3 linked regions of the Caenorhabditis elegans genome follow. The protein of the gene in region 2 purifies or fractionates together with the protein of the main gene of each other region. This does not show direct contact. Each region holds a gene or a part of one and is shown on either strand. Other genes may lie near its edges.

Region 1 (5,310 bases), on a different chromosome or scaffold from region 2:
CATTGGCACACATGAAGCAATAATTAATAGGCACACACGGTTTTCAGTGAAATTCCTCAATTATTCTAAAACGGGGGACCAACCGAGAAATTTGCAAAAATGCGCAACTTTAAGTCTTTTGCACAACTATTCCCACTATACTACTAACTTACTCTAATTGCTTGATGTTTAAGCAATAAAATAACAGAAAAATAACATAGTATGATATATTGCATAAAAGAAGATAGGACCGCCACCAAGCAGTCGAAGAAGGCAGAATGAGTGATTTCTTCTTCAGAAAATGGGCGGGTTTGTGGCTTCTCTGACTCTCTCAAAAGCTCAGAATGTGTGACGTTAGAGCTAGAGATTATTGAAATGTAGGAGGTTTTGAGAGATTAGCAAAAAAGGAAAAAAGGATTAGAAATGTTTTCAAGCTCTTCTTTATGCCAAGATCATGAAACGAAAGACTTGTTTGAGAAGAGGGAAATAAGATTATGAAATTATGAAAAAAGATGGAAAATAAATAGTTTTAATTGTATTTCAATCATGCTTCAATTGGCCAACTCTTGTGTTCAAATTTAAATTAAACAAAAAAATTATTATGCTGTTTCACGAATACTATATGAACAGAGGCATTTTCTCTGTTTTGATATTGAAACTTCAGCTGAAAAAAAGATCTCGTAAAAACAGTCTTGATCATGAATTAAACTAATCTCTTCTTGTTAATGTTAGTAATGATAGAAAAATATTGCCTGAACTTTGTGGTTCCACTTATTTTAACTTATAAAATAGTGAAACGCATCTAGTAATTCGAAGAAAAAGCAAACTCTCTATTGAGGTTTTCAACAAAATCACAAAGTTGGCAATCACATTTTTTTCCAAATTCCACAAAATTGATGAGTAGGTTTTATCGGACACCTAATATAATTGCTCAAGTCAGAGCAAACCTATTATTATTATCAGTAATTTCAAGTTTTGGTAGTTCAGCCAAAATTGATTTCGGGAAAACTATGAAACCGCTAAAAATGTTTACATCAAAGTCTAAACTGCAAAAATGTTGGAAAATATTGTAAAAGTATGAAATATTGAAGTTAAAGTGCTAATAATTTTTAATTTAATTTTAATTTAATTTAATTTTTATTTTGACCAGTACGCTCCTGGAAATGTGTTACCCCCACTTTCGCCAAAACTGTATTTAGAAATTTTTTAGCGTATTTTTATTTAAAAACATGTTTTACACTTATGGAAATAATACTAAATTTTTTATTATCCACTACGTTGTTTTAAACTATTTACTTGTCCACATTCTCTCTCCGAGCCCACTTTAAAACAAGGAAACATGAATTTTCTGTAAAATTTCAGTTAATTTCCTCTGACCCTTTTTACAAACACCAGCTAATTACAATCTACTACGATAATTTTAAAAGACCATTCCTCCCCCTATTTATACAATACCACCACGCTGTAGTCAGACTGTCTTCGATCTCTGCGTCTCTCAATTACTTTCTATTTTCTTTGTTTTTGATAAGACTACACTCTTCCTACCCAGTACATATGCAATTGCTTTTGTCTTAATTTTGTTCAGTTTATTTTAACATATATTCTGCTGAAAATAAAATGAATCTTTTGAATTTAAAGGATTTATTTAGTAAATTTTTCAGTTTCAGATCAAAAATGAGTGCTCCTTTAATTGACAAATACCGGAAAATGGCAACTTTCGACTGGAAAAAATTGAAAGCAGCCGTTGAAGGAGAAGAACATGTTAGACTGAAGGTATAGTAGATTTTGGATTTATAAAATATTTATATATATTTCAGTCAGAAGTAGTTGCTAAAATGAAGTCAGAACCAGTATTTCACAGAGATTATCGAGTATTGAGTAGAGAAGAGCAAAGAGAAGTTGTTCATCAGAGATGGAAGAAAATTGTCGAATGGGGGTTGTTCAAAGATGTATTTCTTATTAAATTGTAGATTTTCAATATATTCGAATATTCAGCCGTACTCCGATCTTGAAAACTTCCATGCATTGACTGAAACTCTTGAAGCTTATGATCAAGGCACATCTGCAAGGCTTTTCCTCCACGGAAATGTTTTTGGAGCAGCTGTTAAGTCAATGGGAACAGATAGACATAAGGATTTGATTCAGAAAACTGAAAACAATGAGGTGAATTTCAAAGAAAATAGCATACAAAATTAAGAAGTACTCAAGAAAAAGAAAAATCAAAACAAATTTGAAAATAATTTATTCTAAAGAAATTTAAACAAAAGCGCATTGTATTCAAATCTGGAAAGTTTAGGTTTCCTTGCAAAATAGCAAATTTCAGATCGTCGGAGCATTTTGTCTGACAGAAGTAGGCCATGGTTCAAACACTGCTGAAATTCAAACAACAGCTACATTTGACAATGGAGAACTTGTTTTCAATACTCCAAGTGTCAGTGCAATCAAATGTTGGGCTGGAAATCTCGGTGGGTTTTAAAACATTTTTAATTTTAAATTTAAAAAAATCCATTTTTTTAGCTCACTCGGCCACTCACGTAGTTGTTTATGCTCAACTTCATGTCGAAGGAAAGAACGAGGGATTTCATGGATTTGTGATTCAAGTTCGTTGCCCTAGAACTTTCCAAACTCTACCAGGAATTACCATTGGAGACATGGGCTCGAAACCAGGATGCTGGCAGGGAGTAGAAAATGGCTGGATGGAGTTTAAGAACCATAGAGCTCCTCTGAGTGCACTTTTGAATAAGGGTTGTGATATTACTCCGGATGGAAAATATGTGACAAGTTTCAAATCTGCAAGTGAGAAGCAGAGTGTCAGTTTGGGAACATTGTCAGTTGGAAGGTATGTTTTCAATACTTTACGACGCCGGCCGTATAGAAAAATTTTTTAATTGAGTGAAATTTGTATCTAAAAGAATTTCTGTTAAAAAAATCAGGTTCTGAAGAATTTCTAGCCGCTGTTTTACCAACTTTTTAAATGTGTTGTTTTTTTCTCAGTTTTAGTAGATACAAGATGCAAATTTCACGGCCGAGCCTTATTATCAATAAAAGCAAAATCTCAAAACGAATCTATTCCAGCTTTAATCGATACTTTTAAAATATGAATTGATTTTCTAGAGTGAAGCCATTGTATTTAATACAAATAGAAATAATGGAAATGGCATTCTTAGGACAATTCGAAATTGTAAAAGCAGACGAATTCATAAAGTTGGGAAAACAGTGCAATCTATAAGTTTTTCCGATTGATTTTTTTCAAACAAAATACTGTTTCAAAATTCAAACTTTACCAACAATGGTTTCACAATAACACAAATTTCAGACTCGGAATTATCGCAAAAGGAATGATGGCTTGCACTTTTGCATCTACAATTGCTATTCGATACAGTGTTGCTCGGCGACAGTTTGGACCAGTAAAAGGCGGTGAGCACCATTCCTTTTCTCAATTTCTCAACTTTTGTATAATTCAGCTGAAAATGAGATCCCAGTTCTCGAGTATCCACTTCAACAGTATCGTCTATTCCCGTACCTATCCGCTGCAATTTGCATTAGAATATTCCAGAAGAAGTGGGAACTCTAAACAAATTGTTTTCAATAATTAGTTAAACTTTATAGGTTTGTCGGACATTTCACTGAATATATGATGAGAGTCATAATGGGAGAAAAGTCAGACGAGCTCTCCGAGTTCTCAAAAGAAGTACATGCATTGTCGTCTGGAGCTAAACCGGTTGCAACGTGGCTTGGTGTAGAATCCCTTGGAGAAGCTAGAAAAGCTTGTGGAGGTCATGGGTATGTTTCCTAACATAACCTGAAACTTAACTTTAAGAAACTCATTTTTTGAGAATTCGTCTTTCTATTTTTTCCAGATTAAAGTTAAAATTTAAATTACAGATACCTACAAATGTCACGATTGAACACCCTCCGAGATGACAACGATCCATCACAAACATTTGAAGGAGAAAACTTTATGATTTTGCAACAAACCAGCAATATTTTGCTAGGAAAAGTAAACTTAATTGTCAGATTCTTTAATCATATTGAGATTCTGATGTTCAGGCTCAATCAATTGGATCCATTGAGACCCCGATGTCTACTATGTCATTCTTGAATCAAAAACCTTCAAAGTTCTCATCATGGTCTTCGAATCCAGTTAATGACGTGTTGTCTGCGTACCGATATCTCACTTATCACTTACTTCAAACAACTTCGGCAGAAGCTTACAGACTAAAAGCATCTGGAAAGAATTCATTCGAAGTTCGAAATGAAATTCAAATTCATAGAGCTGTCAATTTGTCTGTTGCATACACAGAACATACAATGATCCATTGGGTTCAACAGTTCTTGAAAGAAATTGAAGATCAAAGTGTGAAGCCGGTTCTTCAAAAAGTTTTGAATCTTTTCTCACTTTTCCTTTTGGAAAGACATCTTGCAACTCTTTATATTACTGGATATGCTTCTGGTGGAAAGTTTGGAGAAGATCTTCGAGAGAAGCTTAGACTCGCTGTAGCCGAATTAAAACCCGAGGCCATTGCTTTAGTGGACTCGATTGCTCCAGATGATTTCATTTTACATTCAGCTCTGGGAGCATCTGATGGAAAGTCAGTTTTAAAATGTAAAGGTTTCTGCTGAACTTTAAATTTGATTTTCAGAGCGTACGAGCATATAATGGAAGAATTCCGGAAGTATACAAATGAACAACCAAGATGGGTTTGCGATTTGGCTCAGTTTTTGCAAAAGAGATCACAAGGATCCAAGCTATAATATTTCACAAACTGTATATTTCCCAATAAATCCAGTTTTTGAATAAATTCAAAATATACAAACAATTTCAAATTTCTTTGAAAGCTAAAATTTTTGCAAAAAATAAAAATCTAAACGTATAAGCAAAGTTTTCAGATTTATACATATCGTCGACGTGAAACGGCAAAATTTTTTAAATGTTTAATTGAAAAAATTTATTAAAACTTTGGTACCCGGATGTCAGGAAATGCTTAAAAGGCTTCTAACACTGGAAAATAGTTTCTCATTTAGAACCAAAACGATAATGTTGCGTTAGTTTAAATGAATTTATATGATTAATGTGAAACGGGGAAAATTTAAAATAGTGATAGCGCCCACGGGGAAAATGTTTAAAACTATTTATTAAGTGCCAAAAATCATTGTAGAACTTTCACAATGTATTTATAAAATAATATTTATATGAAATAACACCAAAATTTAATTTATTTCCACGCCAATTTCTAATTTTACTTTAAAAACTGTTCTCACAATATTATTGTATCAATGTTGTCGCGAAGTCGATGAATACAAAGATTAACTCGCTCACGACTTTTATTT
Region 2 (3,669 bases):
AATTTATTTATTTATTTTTTTTTTTTTTATTTTTTTTTAAATCATACCTTTTATAAGAATTATCATACCTTTATCATTATCACACTTCCACTGATGATAAACCTGCTGACCTATTAAACCAAATTCTACAGGTTCACCGAACGGACCACCACTAAGGATCTTAAAGTTATACGTATACACGAAGCCAACCAGAAGAGATATTTTTAGTTTATGACGCACCTGATAAGTACAAGTTGGCATTGTCAAATTGACATTATAGCTTATTGTAGAGATTTCATCCACGGATATGTTGTTTGCAACAGTGACTTGGCTCTCCCGGTACAAGCACAACAAATTATAAGTTCTATCCACTTTTGTGATAAAATATGGCTGAAACAGAAAGCGATAAGGAAATATGTTTTATTATAAATAACTAACGTGAAATGAAATTGTGATTGTCGTTCGAACAGCAAGTCCCTTTGGATTCAATACTCGCTGTCTCAGTGCACCACATAATCCTATTTCAATTTCCAAGAAAGCTGAAAGTCTTCCAGTTCCTCTTGATGTACACACTTCTTCCGACGCAAAATCTTTAACAAAGATAACCCCAACAAATGGTTTTTCAGTTTTAATTTGAACTGATATAGTTCTCGAGTCACATTCAACTTGGACATCTCCTGAATATTTTGAAGCAGAGATAAATTTATTACTGAAAATAGTTACCGTATAAAGAATTTTGAATAGGAACAGGATTTACAGCCAGAGTAGCTAGGAGAAGCTGTAGGACAAGATGCATGTCTTCCAAATGACAATCATACTTTGATGATTCTGAGATCAAGAACCCTTTAGGAAAATAGTCCTCAAGTGTTCTTCTTATTTCTTTATTGTCCATATCTTAAACCGAGATATTAGATTGCAGAATAGGTTGTATCCAAGAATAGAGGGGAATTAATGGAGGAGCACTGTGAATAACCAGCTTTTATATTCCATAGAATTTTGGTTTCATGTTTATTGAAACCCTTTGTTTCAATATCAAACTGCTCCTGGAGGAATAATACTTTCCAACTTTTCCAGACATCTTTTCTTAAAAATTACCGTAATCAATTCCAACGATGCTCCGATATTTCGCAAGCGCGTGTTGTTTAGCCATTCCAAATAATCAACCAATTTTGTTTGTTTTTTGTTTTTTTTTTTAATTTATTTTATTGCTATTCGTTTTTTATTTGTTGTTTCATATATATATTAATTTTCCAAACTTGTCGTTAGTGTTTTGAATACCACAATACAATGAGGTTTTGCTATTTCCAACATTAATTCTCTGGCAAATCTCTGCGTCTCGCCCAATCCAAATTTTCGGTATTTTTTCGATGTAAAACAGAAAAGGAACTTTTAAAGTAAAATAATTTCGAATTCAAATAATGTATAGTTTTCTTTTCAAATTTTATTTTTATAATCCTCATGCTTATTGCATAATTCCAAACATCAGTTTCTCTGGCACCAATGAAACAAAATTCACAGATTATTTTTCTTAAAGAAAACTGTCCAAAGAACACTTTTACTTCTTTAAAAGTGAGGGAATAACTTTTGCTGTCCGCTCATTCCTGATGCGACTGACCTCGATTCAGGCCGCATCGACAAGTTGTCTCTTTCTCTAACCCCTTTGCATCTTTCTTTTTCTTGTACAATTCTTAGTCCACAGTCGGTATATGCCATTTTATCGTTCTAAATTAGAACTTCTAATCTTTCAAAACTTGCACTTTTTGCAATTTTCTCAGTGCTATATATTCAAATTCAGAGAAAAATGTCGGATTCGTTTGCCAATGTGCCAGGAGGATCACAAAAGCTCAACTCCGGATATAACATTCCATTCGTCGGATTCGGAACGTACAAAGTTACCGGAGAAAATGTTCCGCCAGCAATTGATGCAGCCCTCACTGCCGGTTATCGGATGTTTGACACGGCAAAGTATTATTTGAATGAAAAGGAATTAGGAGAAGCATTAAAGGTAAATTTTTATATTTTTATTTCAAAGATAAATTATGTTTACATTCTCTTTGTAATCAAATCTTCTTTATTCAAAATTTACAGATTCTCCTGCCTAAGCATGGATTATCTCGTTCTGATGTGTTCCTGACATCCAAATTCTTCCCAGAAAGCAAAAATTGTCGAGAAGCTTGCCGTGGATTTGTCGAAGAATCTCTACAATCTCTTCAAACCGACTATATCGATATGTATCTTGTTCACTATCCAAAACCGAATGACTCTGACAATGATGATGTGAATAACGCGGAATACCGGAAAATTGCATATGAAGTGCTGGAAGAGGCTAAAGGTTTGAAAATCAGAAATCTATTGGATTTTTCATTAATTTTATTATTTTAGCTGCTGGCAAAGTTCGTTCCATTGGAGTTTCAAACTATGAAATTGTGCATTTGGAAGAGCTCAAGACATACGCCAAGGTGCCGCCATGTGCTAACCAACTGGAGTATCATCCACATTTTGCAAGAATTCCACTTCAGAAGTACTGCAAGGAAAAAAACATTTTCTTCCAGGTTAGTTTCGATATTCTGGGGAAAACTCGTTTTATATAATCAATTTACAGGCTTTCTCCTCACTTGCAAGACACGAACCAAAGTTAATTGAAGATCCAGTCGTCGTTGAATTAGCTAAGAAGCACAATACATCAGTTCCTGTAAGTTTAATTAATTCTCAGACTGTATTCAAACAATTATACCTTTTTTCAGCTTGTACTTCTCGCGTGGGCTCTCCGCCAGAATGTTGGTATCGTACCGAAGTCGGTGACCCCATCAAGAATCGTAGAAAACTTCAAAGTAATCGATATTGCTCTGACTCCAGAAGATATTCAATCGTTAACAGCTCTTGATCGTGGGCAGCACTACATTCGTTGCACCGGATGGCTCGTCAAGTAAATGGCTTATCAATAATTGCAGTTTATTTCATAATCATTTTTCCCACATTGTGATATTTCCCTCTTTCTTGTGACTCTAACATGAAATTGAAACTTTTTAATTGTATGACGTCAGTTTTCCACTCTCGCAATATTCCGCTATAATATCTTTAGTTTCGTTTAGAAAATTTTTTAAAAAAATTATTTTCAGATGTCCATAAAGTTGAACACTGGTTACGATTGCCCACTGATCGGGCTCGGAACTTATAAAATTATTGGAGATCAGGTTCTCCCAGTTCTCGACGCTGCTCTTACAGCCGGATATCGACTGTTTGACACTGCAAAAGTTTATAATAATGAGAAAGAAATTGGAGACGCATTGGAAGTTTGTACTCAAGCGTGACGGAATATTTTTAAAAATTCAAGTTTAAGATCCTTCTTCCAAAGCATAATCTGAAGAGAGAAGATATTTTTATCACTACAAAAATGCATCCCAATACCGTAGAAAATGTGAAAAAGTTGGTGGATGAATCGTTGTCATTGTTGAAAACTAGGTAAATATACTTAGCTCCTGCTCCAATTTACAGAATAATATTTTATCGATTTTCAGCTACATCGATATGTATCTCATCCATTACCCGAAGTCATTTGACTATGGAGACCAGGATCCGATGAACAAGACTCTACGAATTGCCACGTGGAATGATCTCTGGGAGTGTAAGAATGCAGGAAAGATTCGATCTGTTGGAGTTTCCAGTTTTGAAATTCGCCATCTGGAAGAG
Region 3 (3,435 bases), on a different chromosome or scaffold from region 2:
TGGACAAGACATAAGCAAGACTTGAGGAAGACTTGGACATGACCCCTCCCAAGTCTGATCCAACTTTTTCTCATATTTTAACCAAGTTCAAACTTCACCTCACCGTAGCCCTAGTTTTGTCCTATGTGTGCCTAAATCTGATCCAACGGTCTAATTTAATACGAGATTCCGAAATTCATATGAAATCGAAATTTTTAATAGATTCTGTAGGATAATCGTTGAAAAAATTTTCAGTGTGAGCTTAAACGTTCCATCACAAAAGAAAAAGGATTGAACGTCGAATTGGGCCAACGGGGAGTCAGCCTGTCTGTCGGTCAGCGTCAACTTTTCTGTCTTGCCCGAGCAATGATCCACCGATCCAAAATTCTTGTTATTGATGAAGCAACCGCAAATGTTGATGGAGTGACAGATGCTTGCATCCAGAAAACAATTCGAGACTTTTTCAAAAACGCCACAATCATCACGGTGGCCCACCGTCTTCACACCATTATGAACAGCGATAATGTAATGGTAAGTGGTTTCTCAACAAGCAAACAATGCCTAGGTTCGCAACTTGCAGGTGTTTGAAAAAGGAGAGCTCGTCGAGTTTGACAAACCGATCACTTTGCTGGATGATCAGAGCTCGCTGTTTTCAAGAATGGCTGCTCAATCAGGGGCTGAAAATTTTGACTCCCTTCGGGCGGCTGCATTGGCCCATGCAATCGATGATCAGTCATCGTATACGGATAATAGTTAAAGTTTCATTAAATTTCCATGTTTTCTAAATATTCAAATCATAACTTGTTTCACTTTCACATCATTTTATAGCAATTCAATTGTTCAATGTCACCTTTTCAAAGGGAATCGAGATTGTTTTTATTTCACTTTTTATTCCATCATTCCATTGAGCACAATAATTCCTTGTTCATACCATGATCTAAGATCATTTCGGTTTTGGCCCAGTGATCGCATCGTCCACATCGTGTAGCTTTATATGTGTCGAATTTAATTTTTCTTTGGTAATATCAGCAATTTTGTTCTGTGGTTTTTTTCTGACTTTCATGATTCTAATCGAAACATGTATTTCATGCAAGCTATTCTTTTCTCCATCCCCCTCATTTTTTTCCAATAAAGAAACTCTGTTATTTTTCTGTTTTTATTTTGTGCTCTGTGTTTGCACTGTCCCATGGAAATAAGCAGACCATTTCTGTGACGAGTGTCTGATAAAAACTTGTCAAGAGTGAGGAAGAGAGCCGTCTAGAAAGCAATGAGCAAATCTTCAAATGCCAAAAATGGCAATCTCGAGTGCTTCACCATTTGCTCTAATTAGAAATTGATCGAGCGACAAATGCGGGCTCTCGAGTGATTTGGCGGAGCTTTGGAACCAGGTGCGAATCGCGTTTTTGTCGGACTTTCAAGAACGCCCCACATGTTGGGCGCTCTACAAAAAAAGACGGTCAGGTATATAAAGCACAGAAAACAGCAGAACAGAGCGCACCCGTCGACCTCCCGCTAGCACCTGAGGCAATTCAAAAACCAACCCGCACCTTTTCGTGCGTCGAGTGCTCTATTCAATTTGCACTCATCTGTGTTTTATTCTAAACATTCGATACACCCAGGTTGCGGCCAGTTCCAAAAAAGTTTCCAAGTGAAGATTTCAACAAAAATTCTGTTAACGATGAATTTCCGTTTTATTCTACTATTCTTAATATTCCCTTTTGTTTTTGCAAGTTTAGAAGAATTTGAGCAAGATAGCGCTGAAATTAAAAAAGAAGTGGTATTTTTTTGTTTACTTGTGTTTGTTTTGATTTAGTTTATTTTTTAGCCTGCTCGTTTTCGATCTTTCAAAAACTTTGGTAGCCATCAAGATGCCAGTAATCAAGCTGCAGAAGTAGCTGGCTCGAACGAAGATAACACTGATGACCCTGAAGTTGCACCGGATGCTCCATACCTTATGGCAGATTCTTCTCTAGAACAAGAAGAAGAATGCGTTGCTCTTCCGAATCGAACACGAGTTCGTCCGTCGTTTTTCCAGTGTAAAGAAGGTACAGTACTTCTAGTAAAACAGAGCCCTAAATACCAAAAATTGTAGACACAAAGTTTGAACTTCACGGCGGTGCAATTACAAACGGCAACGGTGATGATACCTACCCGGTTTCCTTCAACTCGCCTATTCGAATTTTCCTCGACATCACCAGTAATTCTAACAAACGATATGACAATTTGGGCGTCGAAGTGTCAATCTTTAAACGTTCAACCGGATGGTTCGGATGTGGGTGGATGTTTTTACCAAGCTTTGGGCTGTTGTAAGTTGTTTTCTTTGCAGAACACCGAAAAACATTGAATGTTTTTTTAAGGAGCAACTATGATATGTGTGACGACAACCCGTCATGTCCGGTGACTCCGGGACGTCAGGTTATCGAATTCGAGATTGATCCAACAAAGTTGTTTACGAATCTGTTCCGAATGATTCACTATGACTTGGTGGGTACTGACCATAAGGTAAACGCGATGGCTATTGTACTGGAGAGCCGTTGACGGACGCTTAGCAAATACGTTTTTTTTTCTTAAATTGAAATATTAAAAAGAAATCCACTTCTTCAGTATACTTCAATTTTTCAGTCCGCCTACCAAATGATGGTTCGAGTCCGAGACAATCGAGATCCCTACCGAGAGTTGCTTTGTGCTACGATCCAAACTAGAATCACACTCTGAGACCAAGACACTTTTTATTTATTTATTACCAAGATCCTTATCAGCAGTATTTATGAACGATAACCGGGACGCAACCCAATTAATTTAATTCCCCTTCCCTACCTTCTCCCCCAGTGAACACCAGAACCAAGTGGTTTCTATTCATCCAGTTGTTTATGATTATGACTCTCTGTTACAGGTTATCAAAAAATGAATAATATAGTATATTCTGTTTTGATATGTGGGAATGGTCTGGAACAACTAAGGTGCATGTGTGAATAACAAGAATTGAAAATCACATGGGATCCGGCTTTCGTTAGATCTCTGTTTTGACACATGTTTATCTCGAGTAATAACGCTGAAAATTCCATAATTCCATAATCATTCTGCTGAGAGAGTAAATTAATTTCTTGCTACTCAGCGGAGAAAACTTCCAGAGGAATTAATTAGTCAAAAAGAAAAACAACAAACAAATAATATTTGTTGAGTAATGTACACTACTTGCAAAACTTTTGTCGACCAATGAGCATCAAATGCAATATGTTAAGCGATTAACATTAACGAAACTTTAAAAAATATGTATATAAACCTGATCGTTGAGAAAAAAGTAAATAACACCGGGGAAAGTGCGCGGGAATGGTGATAATGAAGTGGAAGCGTTGTTCGGGATAAGACCAGTAGCTGGAATGCAGTCTAGTATAAGAAACCTTTTGCTAACCTTTTACACAATAAATAATTAGTGCACTGGCATTTTGGAAAGAT

The links.
Region 1: the proteins of F53F1.2 (region 2) and acox-3 fractionate together in Caenorhabditis elegans (co-fractionation; one large-scale study listed by BioGRID). This does not show direct contact.
Region 3: the proteins of F53F1.2 (region 2) and ZK470.6 fractionate together in Caenorhabditis elegans (co-fractionation; one large-scale study listed by BioGRID). This does not show direct contact.

What each region holds. Positions count from the first base shown.
Region 1 is NC_003282.8:6,244,823-6,250,132, reverse strand, and holds acox-3 (Acyl-coenzyme A oxidase acox-3), read left to right. Parts: upstream 1-1,640; 5' UTR 1,641-1,653; coding exon 1,654-1,752; intron 1,753-1,796; coding exon 1,797-1,928; intron 1,929-1,974; coding exon 1,975-2,142; intron 2,143-2,302; coding exon 2,303-2,444; intron 2,445-2,496; coding exon 2,497-2,818; intron 2,819-2,979; exon of another isoform or gene 2,980-3,000; intron 3,001-3,129; exon of another isoform or gene 3,130-3,151; intron 3,152-3,295; coding exon 3,296-3,396; intron 3,397-3,443; coding exon 3,444-3,540; intron 3,541-3,588; coding exon 3,589-3,762; intron 3,763-3,864; coding exon 3,865-3,979; intron 3,980-4,029; coding exon 4,030-4,571; intron 4,572-4,622; coding exon 4,623-4,734; 3' UTR 4,735-4,775; downstream 4,776-5,310. UniProt on the Caenorhabditis elegans protein: Involved in the first step of peroxisomal beta-oxidation by catalyzing the desaturation of fatty acid-derived side chains of ascaroside pheromones, which regulates development and behavior.
Region 2 is NC_003283.11:13,405,144-13,408,812, forward strand, and holds F53F1.2 (NADP-dependent oxidoreductase domain-containing protein), read left to right. Parts: upstream 1-1,672; 5' UTR 1,673-1,780; coding exon 1,781-1,984; intron 1,985-2,067; coding exon 2,068-2,311; intron 2,312-2,361; coding exon 2,362-2,531; intron 2,532-2,581; coding exon 2,582-2,671; intron 2,672-2,713; exon of another isoform or gene 2,714-2,723; coding exon 2,724-2,909; 3' UTR 2,910-3,098; downstream 3,099-3,669. Other genes in the region: cutl-1 (ZP domain-containing protein), read right to left, coding at 69-159, 220-369, 418-656, 703-871; F53F1.3 (NADP-dependent oxidoreductase domain-containing protein), read left to right, coding at 3,099-3,272, 3,320-3,441, 3,498-3,669.
Region 3 is NC_003284.9:4,175,530-4,178,964, reverse strand, and holds ZK470.6 (MD-2-related lipid-recognition domain-containing protein), read left to right. Parts: upstream 1-1,657; coding exon 1,658-1,756; intron 1,757-1,804; coding exon 1,805-2,024; intron 2,025-2,071; coding exon 2,072-2,285; intron 2,286-2,336; coding exon 2,337-2,481; intron 2,482-2,601; coding exon 2,602-2,694; 3' UTR 2,695-2,900; downstream 2,901-3,435. Other genes in the region: mrp-6 (Multidrug resistance-associated protein lethal(2)03659), read left to right, coding at 235-510, 560-736.